Linked DNA regions of Drosophila melanogaster. The protein of the gene in region 1 interacts with the protein of each later gene in a pairwise test. Each region holds a gene or a part of one and is shown in the gene's direction. Other genes may lie near its edges.

The links.
Region 2: the proteins of ArfGAP1 (region 1) and CG3021 interact in a two-hybrid assay, tested with the Drosophila melanogaster proteins (one large-scale study listed by BioGRID).
Region 3: the proteins of ArfGAP1 (region 1) and gcm2 interact in a two-hybrid assay, tested with the Drosophila melanogaster proteins (one large-scale study listed by BioGRID).

What each region holds. Positions count from the first base shown.
Region 1 is NT_037436.4:12,414,519-12,419,569, reverse strand, and holds ArfGAP1 (ADP-ribosylation factor GTPase activating protein 1), read left to right. Parts: upstream 1-1,989; 5' UTR 1,990-2,357; coding exon 2,358-2,417; intron 2,418-2,482; coding exon 2,483-3,030; intron 3,031-3,090; coding exon 3,091-3,295; intron 3,296-3,565; coding exon 3,566-3,625; intron 3,626-3,700; coding exon 3,701-4,234; 3' UTR 4,235-4,544; downstream 4,545-5,051.
Region 2 is NC_004354.4:1,025,207-1,028,843, forward strand, and holds CG3021 (uncharacterized protein), read left to right. Parts: upstream 1-1,584; 5' UTR 1,585-1,686; coding exon 1,687-2,340; intron 2,341-2,428; coding exon 2,429-2,944; 3' UTR 2,945-3,084; downstream 3,085-3,637. Other genes in the region: Cdc45 (cell division cycle 45), read right to left, coding at 3,342-3,637. UniProt on the Drosophila melanogaster protein: Catalyzes the 2-thiolation of uridine at the wobble position (U34) of mitochondrial tRNA(Lys), tRNA(Glu) and tRNA(Gln).
Region 3 is NT_033779.5:9,607,038-9,613,259, forward strand, and holds gcm2 (gcm2), read left to right. Parts: upstream 1-1,524; 5' UTR 1,525-1,860; coding exon 1,861-1,871; intron 1,872-3,564; coding exon 3,565-4,309; intron 4,310-4,374; coding exon 4,375-4,465; intron 4,466-4,524; coding exon 4,525-5,498; 3' UTR 5,499-5,669; downstream 5,670-6,222. UniProt on the Drosophila melanogaster protein: Transcription factor with a minor role promoting glial cell differentiation and a more significant role in hematocyte differentiation.

The sequences.
Region 1 (5,051 bases):
ATAATTTGATCGTATCCACACAATAACTCAGGCCATAAGCCCAAAATCCAACCCTGGACTCTGCGAGCTGGGAGCTGAAACGAAAACGGATCTCAACGCACTGCCCAATGCCCAGTGGCGCTTTTGGGGGCGTGGCTGCGCCCAGCAAGAGCAGTGACAGAGCCGATAATGGATGCGCAGCAATGCCATTTCTGGCAGATCGGGGAGTACTCCGCGGCTTCTGATAAGACCACCACCAGCGGAGCACACTCGAAGAAATTAAGGGCGCCAACCAAATTCAAATGTATGCAGTGTTGTATTAGGGAAAAACATGGCATAAGTGAAGTTTAAACACAGATAACGGTATCTTTCAATGCTAAAAATTCTATATTTAGATTGAACAAACTTAGAAAATTTTGATTTACTAAAGAGATGTCTTCAACAGAAAGGAAGCTAAAGGAAGTAGTCTCATAATATTATGAACTAAAATCTAAGATCGTTTTGTTAACTACTTGATAGAATATGAAAGGTTATTTTCTCATCTGAGAAGTCTGTTATTTATCTCAGTGCATTGGATCCGCTCCGGCAGCGGGACAAGTAGTTGTTGAAAGCGTCGAGCGAGTGCCCAGCCAGGAACGCCCGGCTCTTTGGCTCACTGGCTCATCGGCTCACTTAGCGAAGGAAGGAGTCGTAAGTTGGCTGGGACGTGGCGATCGGCGGATCGATCGATCGGATTACCCGGCAGGCTTTTAAATTCAACACATCCTGCGGTCGCCGCGGCAATTATATGCTCGTTGCCGCTCGCATCCAGATCTGATCTGCCACGCCCCCCTTGTTGGGCGTGCGACGGCAATTATAGATCCGCTGAGATGCCAAAAGACGCTGACTTAAATAAATGCGCGAGTTTGGAAATTGAAAGGGAATTAGCGGTGGGCAGGCAGAGCCGAACTGCGGAAATATTGTGCATAATTATATGCTAATCCGAATGGCATTGAATTATGTGCAGACGCGTGTGGTCACCTACCTTTTGGACTTTTCCTCCAAGGGGCACTGAAAAATGGGGAAAAGGGAAATGGCTTTTAGGCGGCTCCAAATTCTCTCAGATTTGAGTTCCCTTTCATCTTTGGTGGCCCTGCCACCCGCGGTCTGTTTGCATTGAAGTCGATCATGTAAGTAATTTCCCCTGTCCGGGATTCAAAACACCGAAATCGAATCAAAATCCACCGACAGTCGGTAGGAGATTGATTACTGTTAGGAGTGTGATAAATCGCTGTTTTTATTAACTTTTTTCGGGATGACGCAGCGCAAATTGGCGGCGCTGCATCTCCAGTCGCCGCACGAGTACTGAAGATCTGGAAATCAGATCAGCGTGATAATGTATAATTTGTTGAAGGGTTTTCGGCGTGCTCGCAACAAAGGCGATGCCATCGAGTTGGGTTAATTGAATTTGCTGGAGAGCGGACAGAGATTTTTGTGCAATATTTAGCTAAAATATGTATGTGTATATTAACATTATTAACATTATTAACACATTAACATTAACATATGTTGGATAATGATGAATAAAAATGGTTTTCTAAATGTCTAATTTAATTTATATAATTTCGAAAATATTTGTTCTTATCTAACTTTTTTCGAAATATTTAGTAAATAAGCAGCTTGAATATATTATATGCAAGCTATATACAATAAATATAATACAGCAACAGAGTAAAAAAATATTTTATTGTTTTTATAAAACCGATAGAATTTTAAATTAAAACATTAAAACATGTTAAAGCTAATATTTTTAGGTTTTCTTTTATGAAAGACAGTTTCAAATATATTAAACTTGTTTGCTTAAGATATTTAAATATCCCGCTCATTTTCAATAAACTATCGATATATCGCAATTCCGAACGTTCCACTTTAGTTGCACTTTGGTCACACTGCAAAACAAAAATCCAAGTGGAACTTTGAGATGGGTAAATATCGATAGTATGCCCAACTTCCTTTGGTTTTCCATGCAATATTCGGTATATCGATGCTGTCGTGAGTGGTCAGCTCATCTCCAATTCCAAGTGGGACACGCTTAACACTTTTTTTTTGCCAATTTGCCATTAATTGCAAGCGTCCCAGCTGATCCAAAAAAATTCAAAACTCTGTTAAATGCGTTTGGCCAGGCGTTCGTCGCGATCCGTGGACTTTAAAGGCTCGTAAGCGTGTGTGAGAGCTTCAAATCGCCCCATCTCAAAGCCAAGATTGCACCCAAATCAGCGCCAGCGTCAGCAAAAGTTTCATTAGCAACTCGGTTATCAGCTGCGAAACTGAAGCCAACTGAACGCAAAGAGTTGGGCAATCCGCCAGAGCAGGGCCAGAAACCATAGAAACCAGTTGCCATGGCGAGTCCCAGAACGCGACGGGTGCTCCAGGAACTGAAACCCCAGGATGAGAACTCGGTAGGTTTGCTCCTTTGTCCACATACGCTAGATAAGCTTCAATTTCTTTGTTTAAAAATGACTAGAAATGCTTCGAGTGCGGTACCCACAATCCGCAGTGGGTGTCCGTGACCTACGGCATCTGGATCTGCCTGGAGTGCTCCGGCAAGCATCGCAGTCTGGGCGTGCATCTGTCCTTCGTGCGCTCCGTCACTATGGATAAGTGGAAGGACATCGAGCTGGAGAAGATGAAGGCGGGCGGCAATCGCAATGCGCGCGAGTTTCTGGAGGATCAGGAGGACTGGAACGAACGGGCGCCTATCACGCAGCGTTACAACTCGAAGGCGGCTGCTTTGTACCGCGATAAGATAGCCACCTTGGCCCAGGGCAAGAGCTGGGATCTCAAGGAGGCGCAAGGCCGCGTGGGCAGCAACAATAGCTTCAGCTCAGGTGGCTCCAGCAACAGCAGCTACCAGTCGCGACCCAGTGCAACAGGTTATGGCGGAAACGGAGGCTATCAGAATGGCGGAGGCGCCGAGCCTGGAGGCTATCAGCAGTACCAAACGCAGGAGTTCAAGGACCAGAAGGAGGAGTTCTTCAGCCGACGCCAAGTGGAGAATGCCTCCAGGCCAGAGTAGGATCTTAATGGCATATCTGTCCATTAGCTATGATTTATCCTAGTTGATTGTTTCAGAAACTTGCCACCGAGTCAGGGCGGAAAATATGCAGGTTTCGGGTTCACACGCGAACCACCACCGAAAACGCAATCTCAGGAGCTTTTCGACTCGACGCTTTCCACTTTGGCCTCTGGCTGGAGCCTTTTCTCCACCAACGCCTCCAAGTTGGCCAGCACCGCCAAGGAGAAGGCCGTCACCACCGTCAATTTGGCCTCGACAAAGGTGAGTCCTGCGCCTCAGCTCGTATATCTTTCAGATTTTGATTCCTTATTTGCCTATTCTCTTCGATTTGGTTCAATATTATGTTGATTTTGTATTCTTTTGGTTTATTATTAGTCTGCTGATTAGTTTTAAATAATTTAAAGCTGTAGAAACCCACCTTAACAACAAAAGAGAGCAAAATCCCTTTAGTTAATCCCCATATTTGTTTGTTAATTTAATTGGTACACCTTATTGTTTGTATTATTTATTTGCATCTTTTTTTGGTTGTAGATTAAAGAGGGAACTCTGCTAGATTCCGTACAATGCGGAGTTACCGATGTAGCCAGCAAGGTCTGTAGTTCCCCATCATCCAGTTAATCTTCTCTAAACCCACATCCCTCTAACATATAAACATACCGATCGCAGGTCACCGATATGGGCAAACGAGGTTGGAATAATCTGGCGGGCAGCAACATTTCGTCGCCGCAGGGCGGATACAACGATCCCAACTTCGAGGACAGCAGCGCCTACCAGCGTTCCAATTCCGTGGGCGGTAATCTGGCCGGAGGCTTGGGTCAGCAGAGCGGCGTCAGCGACAGCGACTGGGGCGGCTGGCAGGACAACGGCAACAGCAAGTCGCACATGACCAGCTCGAGTTCGTACCACAATCAGTTGAGTAGCAGCAGCGGCGGCGGTACCGCCTCCGCCGGCCTAACCCGCGACGCTGACTGGTCCGGCTTCGAGGCGACGAACTATCAGAGTTCAGAGACCTCCTACCAGAACGCTTCGTCCGGCGGATCGACAGCTCGCCGCAACATGAAGCTGCAGGACACATCGCAGAAGCTGAGCGAGGGCTTCGAGAGCCTGGACGTGAAGAGTGTGAAGCCCAAGACGGCAACGGCCTCGTCCGCCAACAAAGGCACTGCCGAGGACGACGCCTGGAATCTGCTGATGAACTAGAAACCGTGGCGAGCAGCTTATGCGATTGTATTTTTTGTATTCCATTCGGTTGTCAAGTTGTGTCTCCTTTGTTTTATGTGTCTCTTGATGTCTGGCCCCGAGGCTGCTATGCGCGCATTTAATGTAACCAACTGAATTGTGTATTCATTCTTCGACTTCAAACATAAAGTGCAACTATTCCCGATTATTTCCACAGTTTAGACCAATTTTGTATAGATCTACTTAACTAACGAATTACTTAGCTTAAAGTGTATGCCAGGATACTGCGAGGGATGCGAGATGAGAAAATACATATTATGTTAACAAGTGTAGTCGTTCGTTTTTTAAATGGGCGGTTTTAAATTCAAAAAATATAAATATTTGCAAATTTAAAAAATACATTTAAAATTAATAGTGTTACCCTACAATTCCACATTTTAAAAACCACAAATAGGTTTGAGTCACGGCTAAGCAGTGACGCGATGCATTTTAGGGTATTTTCGACCACACAAGAAGTATATCTAGATAAACGTTCGTGGTCACACTGGCAAACCCAAAAAATTAAAATTGAAGAGTTCTGCGTGAATCGCTTTAAGCCACAAAGTCGCCGAAATAGCGTAAAAGCAGACGAACTCTTAAATAGCTCGACCAGTAGGTAGTGACCACAGAAAAAGTGGGAAATGCAATTGAAGCTTGCCACTTTCTTTTGCATATCCACATTCCTTTCGCCTGCATGTGAGCGTGTGTGTGTGTGTGTGCATGAAAATCGAGTGCAGAATAATTTTTGCCAAATTGGCAACAATTTGCAAGCGTTTCGAGAGAAATTTGAGTCACACCT
Region 2 (3,637 bases), on another chromosome or scaffold:
TTGACACAGAAGCTCAAGTGGACATGGGAGCGGTGCTTCGAGACCGCGCCAGCCTTCGCGCGGTAACACAATCAAAAGTATTTTTGATTCGCGACCTTGACGAGCTTACTACTGAAGACGAACTGAGGTGGGCCTGGAGTCCCAGACAGAGATCACAGCAGCAGTGTTGGCAATCAAGAGCCTCTGACAAACGCAGTATGGAGGGAAGACTGCTGAAATAGCAGTTCCAGCCAATCTGGCGGAACCGCTGATCACGCTGATCACTGACAGCGGATGCTAGAGGCCGGACCCAGGTTCAGGTGGTGGAGACTCAGCGAGGAATACACTGCCAGTGACCACTTGGCCATCATTTGCGACCTAGGATGCCCTTCCTCGACCCAAGCCCAGACAGCAGCCCTAGCCATGATGAAATACAAAAAAACATGCAAAGAACATCGACGGGCATTCGTCATCGCAGGTGCATAAAAGTTCATGCTTTTTGTCGAAATACTCTGCAGTATGCCGATTTGCCACGAAAGGAGAGACGGATAAATAACGGATGAGGGCGAAAACGTGCAATCAGAAGTGGCTCTTCTCTAACACACACACACACACACACATCTTCACTCGAAAAAAAATGGAGTTGCTGTTGTTTCCTATTTCGAATGTTTGTTATGGAAGGATAAATAACAGATGAGGGAGAAAAGAAAGCGTGACACACACACGCACCTTAAAAAAAAATGGAGTTCTTGTTGTTTCACAACTTATACACTTTACTTCACAACTGTTAGCGACTTATTATTATTAAGTGGGTTTGTAGGTGTACTGCGACCCAGTCGGCTCTATTGTACTACTACCCCTTCATGACTCAACGATCCCCCTGAAGTCCAATGCACTGTATAAATGCCAGAATTTTATTGTGGTTCAGGGGATTCTGTTTCTCTTGATGGCCAAGCGCCATCCATGCAGCAGAAGCGACAGAGTTCACTTCTGCAATGCCAATTTGTACAAATGGCTGTGAAGCCGGCAATGCCCCGTAAGAATGCCGAGTCAAAATGCGCACGGTGTCTAGTCCCGTGTGCGACTAGAATGCGAGCATAATTCTCAAAAACTGCATCATGCCCATTTGCGGAAAAAAACAGAAAAAAAGAGACGGATAGATAACGGATGAGGGGGAAAACGTGCACTCAGAAGTGACTCCTCCCACATACACAACACACACAGTGTTCACTCGAAAAAATGGAGTTTCGGTCGTAAAAATGGAGTTTCGCTCCTTTCCCATTTCTACAGTTTGGTGAGAAAATATTACGGTTAAATTACTGACCTACCTTAACTCGAAAAAATGGAATTCCTGTTGTTTCCCAGTTCGAATGTTTGTCGAGGAAAGATAACGGATAAAATTACGCACGCACCGTTACTCGAAAAAAATGGCGTTTTTGCTGTTTCCCCTTTCGACACGCGCAAATCCACAATGCGCGGAGCTTTGCTTCATGGCCCGACTGAATGAACTGAACTGACAGCGCATTAAACGCCGGTATTATTAGTGTGACCACCGATGCGATAGTTTATAATACCATGGTATACCCAAAATAAATACCAAAAACTAACGGAAAGCACATCAACTGTTTCTGCCGCATAAACAAAAACTGCTGTTCGTCTAACGTGAAACACATAACTTTGAAATTATTGCTTTGCCAACACCGCCCAATGATTCGCAACGTAGTGGTGGGCGTGTCGGGCGGCGTGGACAGCGCCGTTTCCGCCCACCTGCTGGCGGAGCAAGGATTCAAGGTGCTGGGTGTGTTTATGCGCAACTGGGATGAGGCGGACGAAGTGGGTCGCTGCAGTGGGGAGGCGGATCTGAAGGACGCCGAGTGGGCGTGCCGGCAGCTCGGCGTGGAGCTGCGTCAGGTGAACTATGTGCGCGAGTACTGGACGGCGGTGTTCAGCCAGTTTCTGGACGATTACCAAATGGGCTTGACACCAAATCCGGACATCCTGTGCAATCGCCACATTAAGTTTGACCTCTTTCACAAGCACGCCTTGGAAAATCTCGGCTACGATGCCGTGGCCACGGGTCACTACGCCCGGAATAGTCTGGGCAACTACCTGGAGGGGATTGCCTCCAACAACGACGCCCGCTTGCTAATACCCGCCGATACGTTCAAGGACCAGACATTCTTTTTGGCAGGTATTTCCCGAAAGGCTCTGCAACGCACGATGTTCCCTTTGGGAGACTTCCAGAAGAGCCAGGTCAAGGACTTGGCCAAGAAGATTGGCTTCCAGCGACTGGCCAAAAAGAAGGAAAGCACTGGCATTTGTTTCGTTGGCAAACGCAACTTCAAGGACTTCATACAGGAGGTAAAGCACTTGCCGCGATTGAAAAAGCACATGGCTCAATTTCCTTGATTTCACCACGGACTCAAATCTGGTTTCCCTCCACTTTCAGTACATCACTTCCAAACGTGGTCCCTTCCTAGACATCGACAGTGGAGCCGTTGTCGGCCACCACGAGGGCATCCATCAATGGACTGTGGGCCAGCGGTGCCGTCTGAGCTCATTCCTTCAGCCCTATTTTGTGGCCAGGAAAGAGGCCGCAAGCAATACCATCTATGTGGCATCTGGCCACAACCATCCCGCCCTTCTCAGCACCCACATAGCCGTCGATCCGCCCAACTGGCTGTGTTCCAAGTCCCAACAGATTCTTTCGGACACTGGCAGCTTGAGGTGTCGCTTTCGATTCCAGCACACCAAACCATTGGTGGACTGTCAGCTGAGCATCTCTCCCAGTAACACTTTTCTTGTCGAGTTGGACGCTCCTTTAAGAGCTATTACACCAGGACAATATGCCGTATTCTATGACGACACAGCTTGTTTGGGTTCGGCCCGCATCCTCAGCGCTAATCCCCTAAAGAAAAAAAACGCACAGACGCAGCAAGCTCAAGCCGCAAATCTGGTTAGCTAATGATGTTTCCTCTGAGCCAGAAAATAAACCAAATGTAAGAAGGCAGTCCAACTGCCAACACGGCATGTATAGATAGCATGGTAAATACGTTTTCATAAATTTAAGCGCCGAGTAAATTTTAGACGTGAATCGACACTTTTAATTCCATGGTAAACACTTTAATTTAAATTTATTATTCTAGGTCAAATTTACAATTAGTTTTTGAAAAAGGACATTTTGCATTTTGTGGTCCTGGGAGCAATGATAAAGTTATTAACACACAATCGTACATAAATAGGGTTTGGTAAAATCTTAAACTAAGTGTACACGTGAGGTCTCGCGATATAAAACTAGCTTAGCACATAATATGATTGAGCAGGGATGTGTCGGTAGCAGGTAGAATAGAAAGCGGCGTGGATTAGGCTAACAGCACCGTGAGGGAGTCCAGAAAGCGTGTGAGGTCGCTCTGCCGCAGCTGCACCACCGCTGGCTCGAAAAAGTCCTGCAATAGAGCGACTCCACTCTTTTGCGCCGCCTGCTCGAAGGCCTTGCCAAAGAAGTTTCGCGGAGAGTCTTCCCTTACCGGGACAATGCCTACCAGCAAGCACATGCCCTCCGAAGCGTTCAGGGGACAACTTGCGATCAACGGCAAGTCCGAAGCCTGCCTGGCTCTACTCGTGGCCACATGTCCGCGCAAAAGAAAGCGAGCCAACA
Region 3 (6,222 bases), on another chromosome or scaffold:
TTTCTGGTTGGTTCGTATATATGGTAAATGTATTTGTCACCCGTATCATTTGCTGTGGAGCGTTAAAGCGACAACAGCAGCAGCGGCAGCAGCAGCAGCCATTTCCAGGCCATCCGCGTAGTTACGCGTCTCCAGGCCCAATCCCGTATATATCTGGCCATAGTTGCAGGGGCCCAATTCCCTCCTGCCCCTTTTTAATTACGGGTCACAGTGGATGAGCGCAGGGGCGCAGCAACAGTTGCCACTGGTCGGTCGCTGCCACTTTTGTTACCATTTACATTTCCTGTCAACGGCATTTTCAATTTTCACTTTAACGCCTATTTGCTCCTCCATTTCTTTGCCTCTCCCTGTTAAATTGCTCTTCTTGGTCTGTTAATTGTGAGTGTGTGCTACCAAGTGGATGCATAAATTGTATTTTATTTTTTGTGCCCTGTAACTTTGGCCCAAATGGCGATGCGGGCTGATCAGGTGAAAACAAAAGACGCAGCAAGCATTAGGCCCAGCAATGCCCCCGCCTCACCAAAAAGTTCACCCTCTGGCTGATCTGGCCCTGATATTGTTGCCACTTGTGTATTCTCATGTTGTGGCTTTAGGAGAAATAATTTATTTGGCCAATAACCAGAGGAAAGTTGCTGTGTTTGGGGGGGAAGAACATACTTAGGTATCATTAGAAAATTTTTGAATGTTTTAGTAAATGTTTACTAATTAAAGAAAATTCAAAACTATATTTATTTCATAGTTAATATGAACAGACAACAGTCTAATGATTCAAATGCCGTTCCTTTCTAAGGCGACCCATGAAACAGAATACATATTTATACATACAAGTGACTCAAAATAAAAAGCAATCATGGCCAGTTATCGGAATGTTCAATTTACAATACGTGTTAAGCGGCATAGATCGGCATTACCCAGTCCATTAATCATCCCCCTAATCTGGCGAATATTCCAAACGATAAACCCCTGAATATCTATGCTCTGCCAAAGGTTTCCACTGCTTTTTGTTGGCATATCCTTAAACAGAGTTAAACAGAACAATGGGGACTGATAAGGGGCATAATAAGTAATTAAATTTCTGTGATGCTTATCGAGTATGTAGCCCCCACCACAGAAATTCCTCCATCTCCATCGCCGGAACTTCAAAATCTCTCTCTTCTCTTCTCTCGAAAGAGAGGAAGCCTATGTGTGCGTGTTTATCCGACCAATCGGAGGCGAGAAGAGACGACTGGAACTGGAAGCAACTGAGACTGCCTGGAAGGCAATGTATCTGACGGATACGTTTTACCACTCTGCCAGCTGCGTGGAGTTTTTTGGCAAATTATGCGGGTGGCTCGTCGCTGTATCGTCGCTTTCCCCGCTTTCCCGCTCCTCCGCCCACTTTCGAATATTTTGTTGGTTTTTGTAGGTGGAGCCAGAGCCATAATACCATTCCTTTGTTGACAAAACTTGGCACTACTACTCGCTCGCTGAAGTTTGTTTTTGTCTGCTGCTGCCGCTGCTGCTCTTTTGTTTTTCGTATCTGCCAGATACGCGCGCACATCCCGCCCTGCAGGTTGTATTCGAGGTTCAGCGAAAAGGTCGTCATTCTCACGGTTGTTTCCCATCGTCGGCGTCGCGTGCGCAATTCAGTTCAATCCAATCCAATCCGTTCCGAGGAGCTTCAACTAGCGACGGCTATCCGCGAGATACAAGTGCCCAGTGGATACAAGTGTCGCCTAATTGGATTACAATGCTCAAGTGTTGCCTGTTCGCAGGGCTTTCGAATCGCGGAAAACTCATTTAGGAGCAGTTGAGGTTTTATTGGATATTTTTAATTATACCACCTAATACCTGGATTAAAGAAGCTGCTTCAATTGGAATATGGTTGTTATGTAAGTTCTAAATAGTCCCTTTTTCGGAGATTTTCAAATGTAAATTCGAAATTTTATTGCCAAAAAATACTTTTAATAGGACAATAATCATATACTTTGTTCTCGAACCTTTTATCAAATATAATGGTAATTATTGAAATATGCTTAAAATAGGTTTCACTAAGTTTCTAAATTATTCTGCTTGGAACCCAAAGGAATATGGATTAAAAATTAATTTGCTCACATTATTCAAGGCATAGAGCTACCGAAGAATTAAAAAGCTCTCAGTACAAATGTTTCAAATTATTGCTGATCTGAACTGTGCCGACACGCGTTAAACCCAAGCCATCTGCGTAAGTGTTGAGCTTCCAAACACCTCAGATCAATCTCGGATGAAGAATGGGCCACAAATCAAACGATAAAGAGGCAGCGGGGGAGGTCAGGGAAAATGTAAATGATTTCAAACGCTTTATTATCACGCTGAGCGCGTTCCACAGCTTAGTTAATGGCACTCCGGTCCAGTCCAATCCGCTCCAAAGAGCCGCGGGGTGTGCCTCGTATTTTGGATGTTGGATTTCGGAAGGGGGATCTCGAATCTTGGAAACCGGCGGACCACACACAGTCGTAGGCGGAGCGGCGCTCGAGTGAAAGGGTCAAAGAGCCGATGATGATGATGATGCCCCCCCGGCCCCTTCGATTTATAGAGACATATTTTCTAGGTGACAAACTTATTATGAGCCCTGGACAGAGGAGGCCCAAAAATACAGATCTCGAACGAAGTGAGACGCTATCAGCATCAGATAAGCCCAACTAACGAGCGCCCCGAAGTGTCGAGCAGTCAATTTACGGACCCAAAACAAAGCGAGCCACTAGCCACGAACAGGTTCAATCGGGGGAAACCAAAGACCACCAGGCGAACCGTAGCACAGGTATTTGGTGTGTGGTTCTTGGTGCTAGATGCTGTGCAACCTGCTGACTTCCAAGTACACATAAAAACACTCAGGGGACCGAGGCGAATCGATCCATCGGCTTCGAAATCGATGGAAGACAAATTTATTGCTAATTGCAGAGCTCGCTCTCTAATAACTCCCACACATGGAGAATCTCGGCTGAGGCCCTCCATCGAGTCTAGCGATTCCCAGCTGACTCACGATCGGAGTGTCGGTTTAATATGCATCTCCGCCTCCTCAACTGGCGCTCGAATTACGATTGTGGCCAGCTTGGATTACCTGGTGCACAAGATTTGGGGCTAACGGTACCAGCCCTCTAAACTGGGCCTAAATAACCATGCGTTTCATGAGGCCCATAAACCTGGCAAACGTTTCATTTGATTGGTTTGTGTTGGGTTGGGATGGCCCCCTACGAAACAGTTTAGGGCGCAATTAAGATAGGATTTCAATTCCTTAAACGATGCTTAGGCTTTGGCGATAAAGTCACAGTTAAATGGATCACTTAAAGTTTTTACTCGATGTAAAGAGTTTTAATGTAAATAAATTCGATTTAAAAGTTAATGCTGTGACTCACAGTTTTGCCTTAACTTAGATTCCAAAAGGGCAGTGGTGTTTTTTTATTATGTGGCTACTAGAAGTGATATAAAAATCTGAACTCAAGTTAAAGTATGTTTTGTGCTCTTTGGCAAAATTCAAATATAATAATATAGTATTCTTAACTATGAATATAAAATGCAACTTATTATATATAAAATCCTCTACAGAAATGGCTACAGCTTCAAGACGCAGCAACTTCTCACACAGCAACCCGATCATTCTCAGCTTACCCAGTTTGTCCAGCCCCAAAGTCAGAGTACGCATTCGGTGCATCCGGGTCCAAGTCCTGGTCAACAGCAGGCGGGTGGCTCCATGACCATGCCGTCGTCGTCGACGGGCAAGGGAAAACGGGAGTGGGACATCAATGATGCCATTGTGCCACATGTGCCGGACCAGGAGTTCGACGAGTTCAACGAGTGGAGCGACGGGCATGTGAGGCACATCTATTCGCTGCACAACGAGGAGGCCAAGAAGCACATTTCCGGCTGGGCCATGCGCAACACGAACAACCACAACGTGAACATTCTGAAGAAGAGCTGCCTGGGCGTCCTGGTCTGCTCCCAACACTGCACCCTGCCCAACGGATCCAAGATCAACCTGCGCCCAGCCATTTGCGACAAAGCCCGGCGGAAGCAGGAGGGCAAGGCGTGTCCCAACAAAAGTTGTCGTGGCGGTAGACTAGAGATTAAACCGTGTCGCGGTCACTGCGGCTATCCGGTGACCCACTTCTGGCGGCACTCCGGCAATGCCATCTTTTTTCAGGCCAAGGGAGTGCATGATCACCTGCGTCCGGATCCGAAGAACTCCAGTGTTTCCAAGCGGGCCTTTGGACGTGTGCCGCTGGCTGGAAAGTCAGCCAACGGATCAGTCGCCAAGAAGTCGGTCATTGCGGGTCTGGTCAAGCAGGCGAAGGTGAGCTTAGATAGACATTCATTCACCCGGGATGTATCATCTTAACCATTCTTCTCTGACGACAGCAACAACACAGTCTGATTAGCAAGGTTCTTAAGCGTCCTGCTGTCAGCAATCCTCTGGCTCACACCGCATTGGATATATATCAGTATAATGGTAGGTATATAAAACAAGAATATTTAAAGATTTCTTTTACAATTTGTATCCCCCATTAGCCTGTGGCAAGTGCGCCGGTTATAGCCACTGCACTTGCAGCTACCTGGATGACAGCACCACGGCGAGGAGCCATCAGTTGTCACAATCCTCGAATTACGGCACCAATTCTTGGCCACTAAGTGGATCCGAGTCATCGGCACCCTGCGAGACGGCAGCTAATGTGTTTACGGTCAACCACCAGCACATCACCTATAACTATCCCATCTACCATGCAACTCCAGCGGCGGCCACCGCGGCACCTAGTAAATCTCCCAGTTTGCCCTACGCCTGCAGCATTTCGGAACTGGCCGCATACCAGCAATCCTCCAGCGGGAACAGCTTTGCGATGGGTGTTCCCGTGCACGGACACACACAATGCCAGGCAGTAGCCTATGATTCCAGCCCGCAACTGGCCACTCCGGAACCGGAGTTCATCAACTACTCGCAGATCAAGCATTTGGGTGGTGGCGGTGGTCAGGAGGAGATCAGCTGCAAGGCCGAACCGGGACCCACCATTAAGTACAATGCCACCGTGGAGACGCAGCCGTATGTGGAGGACAACTACGATTACTACTATAGCCCCAAGGCGGAGTACGAAATGCAACAGCACCACCACCAGCAGCAGCAGAGCCACCAACAGTTCGGTGGAAATCAGACAGCGGGACATCACTACTACGAGAGCAGTAGTGGCTATAATGGAGTCAGCTATTTCGACACAGGAACTACTACGGCACCAGGAAATACTGCAACCGGAAATGGCCTGGAAGTCGGATACGGCGGCTACTACGATCACTACACCAGCTACGAGCAACAAATGGCGGTAGCAGGTGGATTTGCCACTGCCGGAGGATCCACTGCGCCGACAGTGGCCGCGCCCCCTGGCCATCCACCGCCTCCACCACCACCGCCCACGCTGACGTACCACCATCACCATCACCACCACTTGCACCACCCAGCAGCAGCTACAGGCCTAGCCCCATCGGTCACCCATTGAATAGTACTTAACCAATCCGGACACCGGAGGATTACTCATAGTCGATAGCTAAGCATAGTAACATAGTGTTTAAAATAGTGGTGAAATCTTAATTTCCATCTGTACGTGTAGTGTTAAACGGTTTACCAATTGTTTTTCTCGGCAAATAAATTATGAAAAGTGTTGATTTGTAAAAGTAAATGTATTTAATTTAAGTGCGTAAATATAATTTCTTATTGCGCGACCAATTCAAACATAGCTAATTTTCAGCGGTCATGATGGTGCGGTTCTTGAAATCAGAGATAGATGTCGCGCTGTAAAAAAATTGTTGGTAAGAACCATGTAAAATGTAATGGTAAAAACCATGTAATGTAGACAAGCAGGTGCTCACTTAACCATAACTGTAGTAATTTTAGGACGCATTTAATGATTTGTAGTTTAAAATCGATAGATAGTAAGATATACTTTAATACGAATGATGTTTTATAATTGGCGGAAACATTTAAAGAAAAACAAATTGGCTGCCAAGACCCAAATTTTGTACCGCTTACATGGCTTGCAGTTTTTTTTTAAAAAGCCTCCTACCGGTAAGAAACTGAACTACTGCAGAGTTGCTTTACGATAAACTCACAATGACACACAGACACAGACACACAGACATAACCAGACTAAAGAGAATAGTACTACAAGTTATAATCGCTATCTTCAGCAAGAGGATTTCACATTTAAAGTAATCGCATAGTGG